2 linked regions of the Oryzias latipes genome follow. The protein of the gene in region 2 interacts with the protein of the main gene of each other region in a biochemical or structural test. Links are inferred from orthologs where the notes say so. Each region holds a gene or a part of one and is shown on either strand. Other genes may lie near its edges.

Region 1 (7,292 bases), on a different chromosome or scaffold from region 2:
GTAGTTTGCAGTTTCACTGTTTTTGTTAAGAAGCCGTTAGACTGAAAATGCCTTCCTGTTTTGGTGCAAGGGTGTCAAACTAGGTCTGGTAAAGGAGGAGCCCTTCTGTGGCCTCTGTGGTGGAAGACTAACCAAAATATGATGTCGTTCACTTTTTAGTTTACATGAATTGACGTAGAGTGCCCTTTTCTCTTTTTTTTTTCTCCCCGAGTAGGCTAGTGATGCAAAATCATTGGCTTGTGTCTTGAGTTTACATTTGAAAAAATGGTTCTGAAAGAAGAAGTGAGGTCATGCATTCAGAAAGGGTGGAGCAGGCAGAAACGAGTTTGGCAAAATGCTGTTTTTTTTTTAACACCATTTGGTATGCAAATATCAATAAACCTATAACCCCAAACATGCCCCACAGGTATATTGTTTTGTCATAAATAAAAGAGTAAAAATGTGAATTTTAAATATTAAACCATGTTTATATGCATCAAGCGTTAAAAATAAAAATACTAAAAACCGACTTTAGTCTAGAATCTGATGGATTCTTGGATTTTAGATATACAGAAAAAAAAAGTAAAGGATAATGTTAAATATAAAAATAAAAGAAAACGTGATAAATATACTATTTATCTTTTCACGATATCGTTTTGAAAATACTCAAAATTTGTGCTCAGCCTGTGCTTCGTTGTGTGTTGCATCAGCACTTGTATTTAGAAACTGTGGGGATCTGTTGCTGAAGTTTTGAAAGTGGGTTTTTCCCCCTTTTTGTTAAAAAATATTTAAGAGTCTATGGTTGCATAATTTGCTTCATTTCTGTCAAAGTTGTGTTGTTTATGGCAGGAGTGGCAGGTGTGTATTGCTCAGCAAACTTTTCAGCCACACAGCGTGACACAAAACTGTTGGTGAAGTAAATGCAGTGTGCGGTCTGGGGTTTTCGTACAGAAAAAGGTTCAACCCTCACAGAGGAGATCTTAACATGATAGTAGCTTAAAGTGTTTACAAAGAAAACAAATTATAGAGCAAATATCTTTTATAAAAAACCTTAGATAAATTGGATTTTAAATTGTCTTGGTTTTGGTGTTTTTGAACACAAATGGCGGGCGATCTTGGGGTTTTGTTGTTGAACTTTTCGACTTGCATGGGTGTTGATCGGGTGGTGAAACACTCGCTTTCCGGTCCTGTGCTTTTTTCATGTAAACGTATTGCTCAACTTCCCCCTTATGACCAGCTGCCCATGCGTGTTCTGATCACCCTTTACGTACCGTGTGTCGGTTTCAAGTATATTAAAAAAGTTAAATGTTTACTCAAATCCATTTTTATAAATGTACAAACTCTCAGGTTGTAGGTCAGTTTTAGAGTTTAAACACTGAGAATAAACATAAAATTATTAAGATTTCAAACAATAACAAGCATCTTGGCAGGTGCAGAAATGCTGTACACAACCCAACACACAAGACTAAACATTAAAAGGTTATATTAGATCAAACTTCTTATTTATGTGATTCCAAATAACCTTCCTAACAACAGGTTTCTTGGACTGTAGTGTCTCTGCATTTGGTGAAAGTGTGAGTAACAAGAACCACTCACCAGGACCACATTGAAGCGTTCTTCCAGCTCCTCCTCCGGAGGCATGGGAAGTTTTGGGGGAGCCGACTGTTTCTTCTGCAAGACAAGTGCGGGATCACTCATTGCCGAAACCGAGATCCTGGCGTCCCGGCCGTCAGCAGGTTCTTGCTCCAAGCCCCCTGCCGCCGCATTCCCCATCACTAATCTCCAAAAGTAATCCAGGAGGAAAGCTTTACACAAACCCTTTCTCCGAGGAAAATTGGTGTATTCCAGAGCAGAGTGACAAAAAGTTGGTCACTCTAAATGACAAAAACAGGAAGGTCTAAGATGAATCAAGTCCTGTGCCTTTAAGGTGAAGAACATTTATTCTAAATTGCGTCCTGTCTTCAAGACAGGATAAGTGATGAAAAAAACGAGGGTTGTCTTCATGTTTGTCCGCTCAGAAACTTGTCTGTCTACATGAGCCAACAAGAACAAGACAATAGCCTTGTTAGGCCTGCGTGCTCTAAGAAAAGACGTACCCAACTCTCATGAACTATTTCTACACAGGTTGAAAACTTCTCTGAATAAGGCAGAGACGCCTCTGTATGAGAGGAAGGAGAGGGGAGTGTGAAACACAGACAGAAACCACAGAAGCAGAAAAGCAGAAGAGTAACTTCCTGTGTATGAGTGCAGCAGAACCTGAGGTGGAGGACAGGGTGGAAGATAAACTGCATCCGTTATTCGGATCACAAATATAAAAAGGTACATAACAAATAAACAACACATAGCAAAAGAAAAGAACTACATTGCTCATGGTAACCAGAAATAAAGACACAATTACAACATGCAAATGTACAAAATTAAACCAACAATAGAATTGTCTGCAGCTTATTAATCATTTAAAGCTAAATCTATAAACTGGAGCTGTTTATTCCACTCTAGCTTGAGACAGGTTTGTTTTGGAGGTCGCACGGGTCAAACAGCTAAAGTTGAATACTGGTTTTAAAACTGAGAAACAGCGACCTCCTGCGTTTAAAGATTATCACTGCATATAGCCGTGCAACATTTGAGATCAGTATGAAATTTTCGTTATGAATGATACTAACATTCACATTGTTGTGTATATAAATAGTTAAAGGAATAAATAAATATATGTGACAAATACTTGAAGTTTGAACAATAGGTGCCTACATTTTTACCAAAAATTACGTCAGTTACATATTACATCAAAAGGTAAAACATTTAAAAGTATCTTCTTACTAATTAATCACAGAAACAAAAAAACTACTTGTATACAAAACACATACATATATAAAGTATTTATATTTATAGTTAAAGTATTATTTAAATGTTGATGGTTTGAAATATGAACGCATCTCATTCCTAACAAAGCAGTTTAATTTACGAGTGACACGTGAATGCGACACCACTATTAGTTTTTTCAGCCTTCCAAAATGACGGATCCTACATCCCCAGAGGAACACTGGAAAGTAAGTCACTCTTATGAACCAGATTTTAACTTATCACAAACTTTACTTTTTTAAATAATTACTTGGTCTGTGTTGTTGGGGGCGGCAGTTATAACTGACTCGGCTGTCAAAACGCGGAAGTAAAGTGGAAACGGTGCTTTGATAATAGCCTCGCGGCTAACTAGCTTAGTGACGTTAAGCAACATTGAAGTGCTTAGCAAAGCAAGCTAGCTAAGTAAACAAAGCTACCGGAAAACTCGGGTTAATTCAGTTTTTAAAAAGTCTTCATGCACATGAAAAAAATACACTTGGGTCAGCAAAACCGTAGATATCTAAACAAAAGAACGGAGAGAGAGTCGGTTTCATTGTGTGTACAATGACGGTAGGAAAATGAAAATTTGGTTTCTGTCAAGATTTCATAACGAAGAAGTACTAGTAGTCTGCCTTTACATTTAAGCTAATGCATGTAGTTTGTTTTGTCAGGTTTGGTACCAGTGCCACTAAGTAAAATTTTAAGAGATATTTTTGATGTTAAAAAACCTTTGAATCTTGACTTTACAGTAGATTAATTGTATTTTTTTATATGTCAGCTTAACTTTGATGCTGAAAGTACCATTCAAGAGGGAGCCACTAGAAAATCACTAATTGTGAAGTTTACCTGTTCTTTTGTTGTTGTCCTAAATTTTAACTAAATTGCGATCGAACGAGTTGTGTTCTCCCTGCTTGAATGTGTTAAACCAGGACAATCCTCAGTGGGTGTTCTGGTCTTTGTAATCAAAGTATTTAGAACAGCACACTTTCTTTTCTTTTTTTGGTCTATAATGGTAAACCCACCGCTTTTTGTCCATTTCTCCTGCTTCTTTATGATGGCTGCGCAGACAGATGGTGCTTTCAGCGATGGTGGCTTTGACCAAAGTGAGTAGTTTTTGGGTTTTGTTTTTAAATCAAATCCTGCCTGTGAGAAAACAACTTTTTCGGATTGGTTTTCTTTTTGTTTATGTCTTATTTTTGTCATATTTCTAAACATTTATGCTTATATTTGCAGGTTTCTATATTGAAACAGCCAGAAAAGGAAGTGTGGTGTCCAGAGCAAACAGCATCGGGTCAACAAGTGCCTCTTCAGTACCAAATACTGGTAGCTTTAGAGTCTTTTAAATCGACATCCAGTCTGTTTTGATATCAATCAAAAGTTTTACTCTGTCATCATAAATGAAAATAATAGGAAATTACTTTATTGTTTTTCTTTTCAATCCACAATTGTGCTATCTACCCTTTTCTGGAAGACTAAATTCTTTGGTTAAAAGTATTTAATATACTTTTTCTTGGTGAGAAATGTTTATAAAAACATGCTAACATCCCAATAGAACCATGAGGCCACTTTGAGATTTGACTCTTGTATTTATTGAAATGCTTTTTATAATTTGATCGACAGCACAAAAACAGAGTCGGGTCACAATAGTTTAATTTATTCCAAAATAGATGATGAGGACAGCGACTACAGACACGAGACGTCGCTTAAAGACTCGTATAAAGACAGAAGGAGACAAGCGCACACACAAGCTGAGCAAAAGCGCAGAGATGCCATCAAGGTGAGACCGCAGAAGAATCGCGTCACTGTCTTTAAAATTCCAGATATCTGATCTCGTATATATTTCTTTACTTTTATTTCAGAAAGGTTATGATGATCTTCAGTCAATTGTTCCAACCTGTCAACAGCAGTCTGAGTTTGCCGTAGGAGCACAGAAGATCAGCAAAGCTACAATCCTGCAGAAAAGTAAGATTTACTCAAAACCTATTGAAATAGTGGGATGATAACATTTGTTCTTTTACATTTGTAAAAGTATTTATTCTTTTTATATTTGAAACACCTGTAATGCTAAAAGTGAGGTTATTTTCAGACAGTCAGGTAAATGTGAGATGGTAGTTTCCACTAAACACATTTAAAAACTGATAACACGATCTAGTTTCAGTTACCTTTATGGTCACAAAATAGATGCAAAAACCATAAAAAGCAGTATGAAGAAACTAACTGACAATGCTCTGATTCTTTTTTTTTTTTTTAGCTATTGACTACATTCATTTTCTTCATAAAGAAAAGAAGAAGCAAGAGGAGGAAGTCTCTGTCCTGAGGAAAGAAGTTATGGCACTTAAGATAATGAAAACGTGAGAGCAGCTTATAATGACATACCACCTTTTCCTACTTAAGTCTTCCTCATAGTTTGTCAACACTCTGCCTTTATTTGGATTAAAAATATAGTTGTTGTTTTTTTTGCATTAAGAGATTTTGATTTTTTTTAAGTTCTTGCCCCTTTTCTAATGTAAAGTTTTGTTGAAAAAAACATCATTTTTGTATCATAGTTTGTTTTTTCTTCTTCTCCAGGACCTTTTTAGCTTCAATAATCTAATAGAAACTGAAGTAAACTGTTAAATTCATAACTGCTGTCAACCTTTAGTGGTATAAATACTGTCTGTTTTGTTTTTTTGAAGGAACTATGAGCACATAGTAAAGGCTCATCAGAGCAATCCACAACAGGGAGAGGATCAGGTGTCTGACCAGGTCAAGTTTGACATCTTTCAGAGCATCATGGACTCCCTGTTTGTGTCCTTCAGCAACTCCGTCTCAGTCAGCAGCTTCGAAGAACTGTCTGCTTGTGTTTTTAGCTGGATTGAAGAGCACTGCAAACCACAGGTACCAAATATTGCTTTTTTAGCGTTTGTGCTTAGAAAACTACGACAGAGTATTGGGGCCACCATCAAAACAAACAAATAAAGACATTTACGAGCATAAAGTGGTAAAATGAAGAGAAAAGTCATAAAATCACAAGTAAAAGAGTCAAATTGTTATTTAAAAAATAGATATATTAAGTTTACAAGATTGTAGTCATAAATTTATGAGGCTAAAGTCTGTTACCAAGAAAAATATAAGCAAAAAGCAACAAAATCTTGTTTCAGAGACGTAGAGCACATTTACTTCAGCAAATAAGGAAGTCTTTTAGTGATTCAACATCGTTTTATTAGAACTAGAAGGACATTGTGCAGGAAACTGGGCCTCTTCAAAGATTCTTGACCCATAAGGTGTAGATTTCTAGCGGGCGAACCGTTGACGCCGTCGACAGTAAAGCTGCATTATAGCACATGGATTCCTATGTTCAACTAAAACCTTATGGCATCGGCATAAGTGATTGATGGATTTAGTCAGAAGCTTACACAATCAGCCTGTATTTTAGAAAAAGCAACTATTTTCTTCCTAATTCACCAACTTTATTCTCGTAAATGTTTTATGGTGGCCCTAATACTGCGTCGTAGAAAACAGACAAAACTAATGAGTCTTTATTCAGACTTTCCTATTTCTTTCTTCTTTTTTTTTGTAGACGTTGCGGGAGTTTGTTGTTGGCGTCCTGCGGCAGATTAATGTTCAGCTTTACTGATCAAAGAGACTTTAACTCCCCAAAACAGACTCTCAAGATGACTAAAAAAAACGTTTTCAGCGAGGCTGTGCTGCAGTTATTCCCACTCTAGCTCCTCCGGGACTCCAGGGCTGCCGGAGGATTCCCCCTTCAAGAAGCCTCGTGGAGGTTGGAGCGGAGATGACCAGGTGTGTTTGACCGAGCGGCGAAAGAAAGTAGTTTCTGAGCTTTTCATAAGCTGAAATGCAGCATTTGTTTTTAGAGGAAATGTCCGCGTTGATCCCAACATGCTGCCAAATATTGTAGCAAGCAGCTAGTTGTGTCTTCATGCCCCCAGCTTTGTTTTTTTAATGGTCCACACCAAACTGTTTAACGGTGGTTTCTGCTGCACGTGGAGGACTATTGCATGTGGAGAATGCGCATGTTACGCCTGAGTTTGAGGCTCGGAGCACAGAATCACTCCGGAGTTGTGAAAGTGTTTGACTACTTTGTCATCGCAGGCTTTTATGTGCGCTTTTAGTGCACGCCATGGGACACTTCCCCATGATTTCCTTTAAAAAAATACTTTAATGTGAAATAATTCACATTTTAAATGTAGTTTTGACAAACCAATGAAAAAAAACCTTCATTATAGTGAATTGAATTGGGACAAAACAGATAAAAATGCCCCACAATTCATCACCGAGGGATTTTTCAGCCTTATTTCTGAGCAGATCAGAATGTGTTTTATACAACCCATTTGGGTTATAATTGCCTTCTTTTCATTATTCCGTTTGCAGACGTTTCATTAAAATCATTTCGTAAGTTCCCGGTTTTAAGTGTTTTTTTTCCCCCCCACAAAAAATAAGAAATTTTAATCAATTTTGTTTCAGATATTTTT
Region 2 (7,471 bases):
AAAGTCCCACTCCAATCGTCTTTTGATCCATTTTAACAGTGCTCCCAGTGATGAGGATTAATGAGGATTGTCGTTTTTAGCCAAAATAAACGTTGTCTGCGTCTAGAACATAGTTTCTGAAGAACGGCAGGAGTTCATTAGAAATTCTCCTCCAAGTCACGGGCGGGACATTTGGCACTGGAAAAACCCATTAGCATTTCATCCATGTGTTTACACTCTCCCGCTAGCTTACAGCCCCCCATAAGCCCAACCTAACGTTACTGGAGCAACAAAAAGGGTGAGCAACATTAGAGCTATGCAGCTGTACAGTTATGATCCAGAGACCAGCTCAGACCAGGAAAATAAAGTCGTACCGGTACACGGATCTATGCGTCTGCAAGTGGAGGCATCGGAATGGAGCGGAGCAGGGAGCTCGTCACTCACCAACTGTAGCACCTACGTCACAGCTTCAAGCTTTTTCCAGCTGCATTTTTTCTTCTGCTCCCTCGAATGAAGAAATACTCATACATGCAATTTTTAGCTTAATTTTCTTTAGACACGGCCTCCATCATGAGAAAAATGCTACACGAGCATGTTGAAAACATGATTTTCCTTGAAGTGGGTCTTTGAATCTTGAAATGTTACAGTTTACAAACTAGTAATGAGGATTTCATACACCTAAGTAGAATTTTCTCTGCGATTATCTAAAAAAAATTAAAAAATAAAATCTAGCTCCTGACATCAGCATACACATATTCTAGATATGACAAATGAAAAGACAAAAGGTGCCCTCTTACACTGCATATACCAGGCTCTCCATATGGCATTGTTGAGGCGAATCTTGTCTCTCCATAACAGCTTTAGACCTTTAAAGTTCTTCCATTTAGGAGACACCAGTTTGCCACTAAAATAAATAAACAAGAGAAAGTTGTTAAATGTAATTTAAAAAAAGCTTGTGTATGTAACTGAGAAGCTAAAATTGGAATAAGCAGAATATACTGTGGACTGACCGTTAGTCTATACAAATGAAGGACAAAGCTCATCACAAAAACAGCTCACAACATTTCCCCTCTCTTCATCCTTTCTGCTCTGTATTCAATACAATATGTCCTTGTCAAGTTTGTTTCAGTTTGATTTTTTTTAAATCAACAAAATTTGAGTACCTTTAATGTTTGACGATGCAAAGACGGAAAAGCTGTTAATTGGCCAAAACATTTTAGATGAAAAAGTTGTAAGGAAGCATGCATTTCATCCTTGCATAAATACATGTAACTTTTTATAGGATGAATGACAGCAGCATAACAGCAACTGTTCTATTAATAGTTCTTCTAGAAAGCCAAACTTGCTGCAGAGTCTGAGGGAATCCTCAGAGCAGCTTGTCATGACGCCGCTAACAGCACAGCTGTAAAAAGCATGGATACCATGAACTTTGTACATGCACTTTTAAAATTCATACGAGAGTTACATCTTTACAGAGACGTAGAGCTTTTAGAATATGTACTTTTAAAGATGCACTACTTCAAACACTGTAACCCTTGTACTATCCTAGGCACTTTAATGTTGGGAGTTGGGTCATCTAGACCCACTAGACAGTGCTCTGAACCTTTTTTCTTCAATGATTTGTGATCTTCACTGGTGTCCATGGATTACATGAAATCTTTCCACCTTTATCCACCTTTGTCATGGTAGGGAGAACACGTCAAAGTAAGGGTGGGGTCAGATAAGATAGCACAAGGGTTAAGAAAACGGGTAAGAGCTTCCCCTAGAAAACTGAAAATACTTCAGTGCAGCTGGAAGCAGTCTTTTTCCCGCTATGTTTGGGGAGAAATCATCGGCTGCATCCTTTTGTTGCTTCAATAGTCTAAGTCAAGAAAATAAAACTACTGAAACTATTGATGAAAGACCAGGGAAAGTTTGGATGAAGTGAAGAGAGAGTTCAGACAATCAGGCCTAAGCTTTGGGTTGAGAGTACGGCAAGTGGTTAGGATCATAAATACAAGTGATGAAACTGATTCTGCTTTGCAGGGAGGCTGCGGTTTGAAAGATGGGGATGAGATGCTCAAACATCAACTTTGTAATTGTATTTTTAGCAAGGGTTTTTATTTTGTCCATTAGTATCTACATCACTGTTGTCTCTGAGGCTATTTATTTAAAGGCAAGTGTTTTAAGCTTTTATGTTACATGAATAACAGAAGGTTGAAAATGTCCATTTTTACAAAAAAAAAAAAAAAAAACTATAAGAAATGACACTGAATTGTATTTGTTGACATAATCCACAGCTCCACCGCTAAAGTGCCCAATGTAATAAATGCAGGATTACGTCTGCCGGTGTTTATTCAGCTCCAGTGACTGTATGGTTAGTTAGAACAGAGGCTCTGCTGAAAACTTGTCTGGGCACAGCACAAGTGTCCTAATGACTGTGTAGTTCTATTGTATAAAGAAACTAATATGTTTCTTGTCGCTTAATGAATTATTTTAAGAAATTCCTTAAAAACCCAAAAGTCTGAAGTTTTAGGCAGACATATAAATAAAAACAATGCTCTCTGATAAGTTAATGCAATATATACCTATGACTTAACAAACCAGTTTAAAAGGAACTTTGATTTTGTCTAAATTACTGATTGAGCTTGCTTTTATCTGACATTAAATTAAATATAATTTGTTTTTTCTATTCAAAAATTAAATTTGTCCGGTGACAAAAAGCAGTTTGCATCTTAAAGGGTATTTAAACTGATTCAATGTCAAACTTTTAATAAAACTAAGAAGATCTTACATGCTTCAAAATTATCCATGTTTATGCTGCACTTTACTGAACTCTATTTTATTCCATTTTTTTTATACTTGTATTTTTTATTGGTTACCTGTACATATTTTGATTTAAATTTATAGTATCACCAATCCAAGGCTGCTAAAATTTCATTGTATTATGTATAATAAATGACAATAAAGGCTTCTGGTTCTGACATTCTAAATAACCTTTTTAAATAAATAAAACCAGCTTTAAAGAAAATTATCCACATATTTATTATGTTGGATCTTATGCGTGTGAAGACACAATTATAAATGTTTGTTTCGCCTATTTGTAAGAACTTTTTAAACCTCTCTACAGTTGGAAGATAGAAGACTTGATGGTGCTTTTCCGAGCCCATCAGCTGGACCAAAGCAAGCCCGGCACTGAAAGGAAAAGTGAAATTGTCTGCGTCAATGCGCAGCAGGCAATGTGTGTTGTGATTTACCTATAAGCAAGGGTCATGCACTCGAAGAGTTTAGTGAGGGACGCGTCTATGGAGAGGTGCGACGTGCTCGTCTTGCCGAAGTGATACGTCTGACAGGTCTGCTTGTTGACAGTGTCAAAGTCGTAGCCTTTCTTCGGAGGGTGCTCGCTGTGGGGCCAAGACACCATGAAGTGTCCGCTGTGGATGATTTGAGATTCCAGCCCTTCCACTTTGAGAAGCTCCAGGTGAGAGTCCTCCGTATCCGAGTCGTCATCCTGCTCCTGCTTTATGCTAGCGGTCGCGCGGCGGTAAGTCTGCCGTAGAGACATCTCCCTGGTTGCAATGAATGTCGACAATTCCCCAGACAAATAACTAGCATTAAGCTAGCAGGCTAAGAAAATAAAACTCTTCCTTTCATCTTAACTGTCCACGTATGTCCGTCTCAACTTATGGAACCAGAAACATCACTTCACCCATGTTTAGTATTCTCATTGGTCATGAGCGTTCCAAGTTAACTTATCTTTTAAGACAGCCGACGAAATTACTAGTCTAAAAGACCAGCTGACAAAGAACTGCTCCTCTGCCCAGAGCAGGAAGTTCCTGTTTTAAACCGTCTCTGATTGGTCAACGTCAGAGCTCCACCCACCCTCGGAGGGCCAAAAATAAAACGAAGCGACAGGTTGTTCTTCAACTGTTTTGAAGGCATACCCGTGATTATTCTGCACTGATGACCCTTCAAACGTAGTTTAACGGAGTTCATTCACTCTAATTTGCCGCCTGTTTTTCTTCTTTTTATGGCGGCTTGGCTAAGGGTGGATTTTTTAATTTGATAGTCTAAGAATATAAATTTCAGTTAGCACGTCAGTGAGCTTTAAAGCACGCAATGCTAAGTTTGGACACACCTTCTCATTCAAAGAGTTTTCTTTATTTTCATGACTATGAAAATTGTACATTCACACCGAAGGCATCAAAACTATGAATTACACATGTGGAATATATACATAACAAAAAAAGTGTGAAACAACTGAAAATATGTAATATTCTAGGTTCTTCAAAGTAGCCACCTTTTGCTTTGATTGCTGCTTTGCACACTCTTGGCATTCTCTTGATGAGCTTCAAGAGGTAGTCCCCTGAAATGGTCTTCCACCAGTCTTGAAGGATTCTCAGAGATGCTTAGCACTTGTTGGCCCTTTTGGCTTCACTCTGCGGTCTAGCTCATCCCAAACCATCTCGATTGGGTTCAGGTGACTGTGAAGGCCAGGTCATCTGGCACAGCCCCCCATCACTCTCCTTCTTGGTCAAATAGCCCTTAAACAGCCTGGAGATGTGTTTGGGGTCATTGTCCTGTTAAAAAATAAATGATGGTCCAACTAAACGCAAACCAGGTGGAATAGCATGCCGCTGCAAGATGCTGTGGTAGACATGCTGGTTCAGTATGCCTTCAATTTAGAATAAATCCCTAACAGTGTCTCCAGCAAAGCACCCCCACACCATCACACCTCCTCCTCCATGCTTCTTGGTGGGACCAGGCATGTAGAGTCCATCCCTTCACCTGCATCGCATAGACACAGTGGTTGGAACCAAAAATCTCTAATTTGGACTCATCAGACCAAAGCACAGATTTCCACTGGTCTAATGTCCATTCCTTGTTCTTTAGCCCAAACAAGTCTCTTCTGCTTGTTGCCTTTCTTTAGCAGTGGTTTCCTAGCAGACATTCTACAATGAAGGCCTGATTCACACAGTCTCCTTTTAACAGTTGTTGTAGAGATGTGTCTGCTGCTAGAACTCTGTGTGCCATTGACCTGCTCTCTAATCTGAGCTGCTGTTAACCTGCCATTTCTGAGGCTGGTGACTCGGATGAACTCATCCTCTGCAGCAGAGGTGAGTCTTGGTCTTCCTTTCCTGGGGCGGTCCGCATGTGAGACAGTTTCTTTGTGGCGCTTGATGGTTTTAGTGACTGCACTTGGGGATACTTTCAAAGTTTTCCTAATTTTTTGGACTGACTAATCTTCATTTCTTAAAGTAATGATGGACACTAGTTTTTCTGTACTTTGCTGCTTTTTTCTTGCCATAATACTAATTCTAACAGTCTATTCAGTAGGACTATCAGCTGTGTATTCTGTTTTACCTTTGTCTTCCTTGTCAGTGGTTGGTTTATTTTTACAGAGCCCTTTGTGGTAGAAATGTTTTCAACAGGCATGTCCAAAGTCCAGACATTGGTCAAATGCCTCTATATTCAAATTTCAATAGATTCCTGACATAAATTCATTAATATGTGCCCCCTAACATTTTCTAAAAACTGTGTGTACGGTTTCCTGATTGACTTCAACCACTGAAATCACCACCTTTAAACTTGTGCTGGCACTCCAAACATGAACTATAACAATGATAGTTGTTGGAACCTGTTTAAAAAAAAAACCCACAAAGGAACAAAAGTAAAGTCAAAATGATAACGTGTATGCAGCCCGCTGTGACTTCTTGTCTTATTAATCACTGTGGTGGAGGAGATCTGCTTCCTTCATTCCTGTTTGATTGAGGAAAGCCCAAGATGTGATCTGTAAATATCTCCATTGAAATCTCCTCTGGTAATTCTCTCTCCAGTAAATGTTCTTCACCTGCAAGAGAAAATTAAAGATTGTTTACTCTTTCAGGTATTTCTATTTGTTTTATTTTTTAAATTGAAGTCATAATTTTTATGCCTACAAATTTCTTCTTTTTTGAGGCCTAAAAGTGTGGTAAAACACTCCTCCACCTCGTTCATGGTCATCTGTTCCCCTATCAGTAAGAAAAAAAATTGTATAAGACATGCATCATGCAAGTTATAAAGACAGCAGAAATACATTAGAACATTTTTTTCTGATTTAAACGTACCTCGAGCCTGTAAAAGTTCTAGCAGCTCCTGTCTCTGCAGAACAGGTTGTCCTGTACTGTTGCTCTTAGCAAGAACGTGAAAAGCTTGAACAAGTTCATTGCTAGGGGCGCCAAAGGCTGGCCGGTGGTTGACGTACAACTTGATAAACTCCTGTAAGTCAATGTCTGTTACATACTTTCCAGTTTCAGCAAACCTGCTGAACTTGATCTCGTTCTGCATGTCTTCTATCTGGTGAAAAAAAACAACATACCGTTTCGTTTTGAAGGATAAAATTTGCTGATGTTTTCTATGACATACCTCTTGTTCAGTAGGAAAGTAGCCCACAGCTCTCATTAAGGAGGGAACCTCTGACAGAGGAATTTCTGTTGGCTTTGGCTGTTTCCTCATCAAGCTGGAGCCATAGTGACGGATTTGACAGTAGTAGAAAAAATCCTCCATATCCTTAGGAAACAAACACATTTTATACATTTAATCATCACTTCTGACATTCATATGGGGCTTTTCTGATATTTATTGTGTTGCATGTATAAATATGAGGATTTCCCTTTAAAATAAACATAAATATTTCTCTACATAAAAAAAAAAATGTTTCCAGTCGTTGCAGTCGGTAGAGGCTTGTGACTCAAAGAAGATCATGGTACTGTTTGGGATGTTCTGAATTTTTTCAACACTATTCAGCTTTCACTGCTGTAAAGTAGTTCCCGAAAATGCACATGGAGGAGGTCTTTGCAACTGGATTGATTACTTATTGAAGGAAAGGGTGATATGCCTGAGAAAATGGTTGGGACAGGATCAGCTGAGATGACTGAACTCTTTCCAAATTTTTCATTTTCTACAACTCATAATTCCTGTGCAATTTAAAGTCTCATCATCTCTCAGAATAGCTTGATGATTTTGTTATAGAGTGTACCAGTGACAGAGAAGACACTAAATTGCTCTTGGAAGTGATGGACTACTTTTTGTTAGGAAAGAAAATGATCGGCCGACAAAAAAGAAAACTAAGGAGATGACTGGAGATTTTAAAAGATGCTCCTTATGAGGATCTTGAGTCATAACATCTGTTTCTACACTGATATTTTTTATGTGCATTTCTGACAGGGAAAATCTGTTGTTTTGTTTTTAAAAAGTTAGACGTGGTGACTTGTGCCATTGAAGTCCCTTAAAAATGGAATTACTCTTAACTGTAATTACAATAAAAGCTAAAACTTCAAAATATTGTGATAAATAAAAATAATCTAAACATGAGCAGTGTCTGTTCAACACATATGAATATCCAAGGACCTTGACAAGAAAGACACTTTTACTTTCATGTTTTTAACGCATTTTGGTAGAAGATATTTGCCAAGTGTTCAGTAAATACAACTCACTCTATAAAACTTGCCCTCTTGCCCTCCGTCCAATTGGG

Evidence for each region.
Region 1: the proteins of mlxip (region 2) and mlx form a complex in vitro, tested with the Homo sapiens proteins (2 studies listed by BioGRID, with this or other methods). The link is inferred for Oryzias latipes from reciprocal best matches to the Homo sapiens genes MLXIP and MLX.

What each region holds. Positions count from the first base shown.
Region 1 is NC_019866.2:6,754,238-6,761,529, reverse strand, and holds the start of mlx (max-like protein X), read left to right. Parts: upstream 1-2,887; 5' UTR 2,888-2,990; coding exon 2,991-3,026; intron 3,027-3,076; exon of another isoform or gene 3,077-3,381; coding exon of another isoform or gene 3,382-3,387; intron 3,388-3,883; coding exon 3,884-3,920; intron 3,921-4,050; coding exon 4,051-4,140; intron 4,141-4,484; coding exon 4,485-4,594; intron 4,595-4,676; coding exon 4,677-4,779; intron 4,780-5,068; coding exon 5,069-5,168; intron 5,169-5,492; coding exon 5,493-5,694; intron 5,695-6,376; coding exon 6,377-6,433; 3' UTR 6,434-7,292. Other genes in the region: fmnl1 (formin-like protein 1), read right to left, coding at 1,576-1,752. UniProt on the Homo sapiens protein: Transcription regulator. Forms a sequence-specific DNA-binding protein complex with MAD1, MAD4, MNT, WBSCR14 and MLXIP which recognizes the core sequence 5'-CACGTG-3'. The TCFL4-MAD1, TCFL4-MAD4, TCFL4-WBSCR14 complexes are transcriptional repressors.
Region 2 is NC_019867.2:12,064,077-12,071,547, reverse strand, and holds the start of mlxip (MLX-interacting protein), read right to left. Parts: upstream 3,798-7,471; 5' UTR 3,524-3,797; coding exon 3,216-3,523; intron 884-3,215; coding exon 777-883; intron 1-776. Other genes in the region: wdr66 (cilia- and flagella-associated protein 251), read right to left, coding at 5,685-5,809, 5,898-5,969, 6,066-6,294, 6,364-6,507, 7,434-7,471. UniProt on the Homo sapiens protein: Binds DNA as a heterodimer with MLX and activates transcription. Binds to the canonical E box sequence 5'-CACGTG-3'. Plays a role in transcriptional activation of glycolytic target genes. Involved in glucose-responsive gene regulation.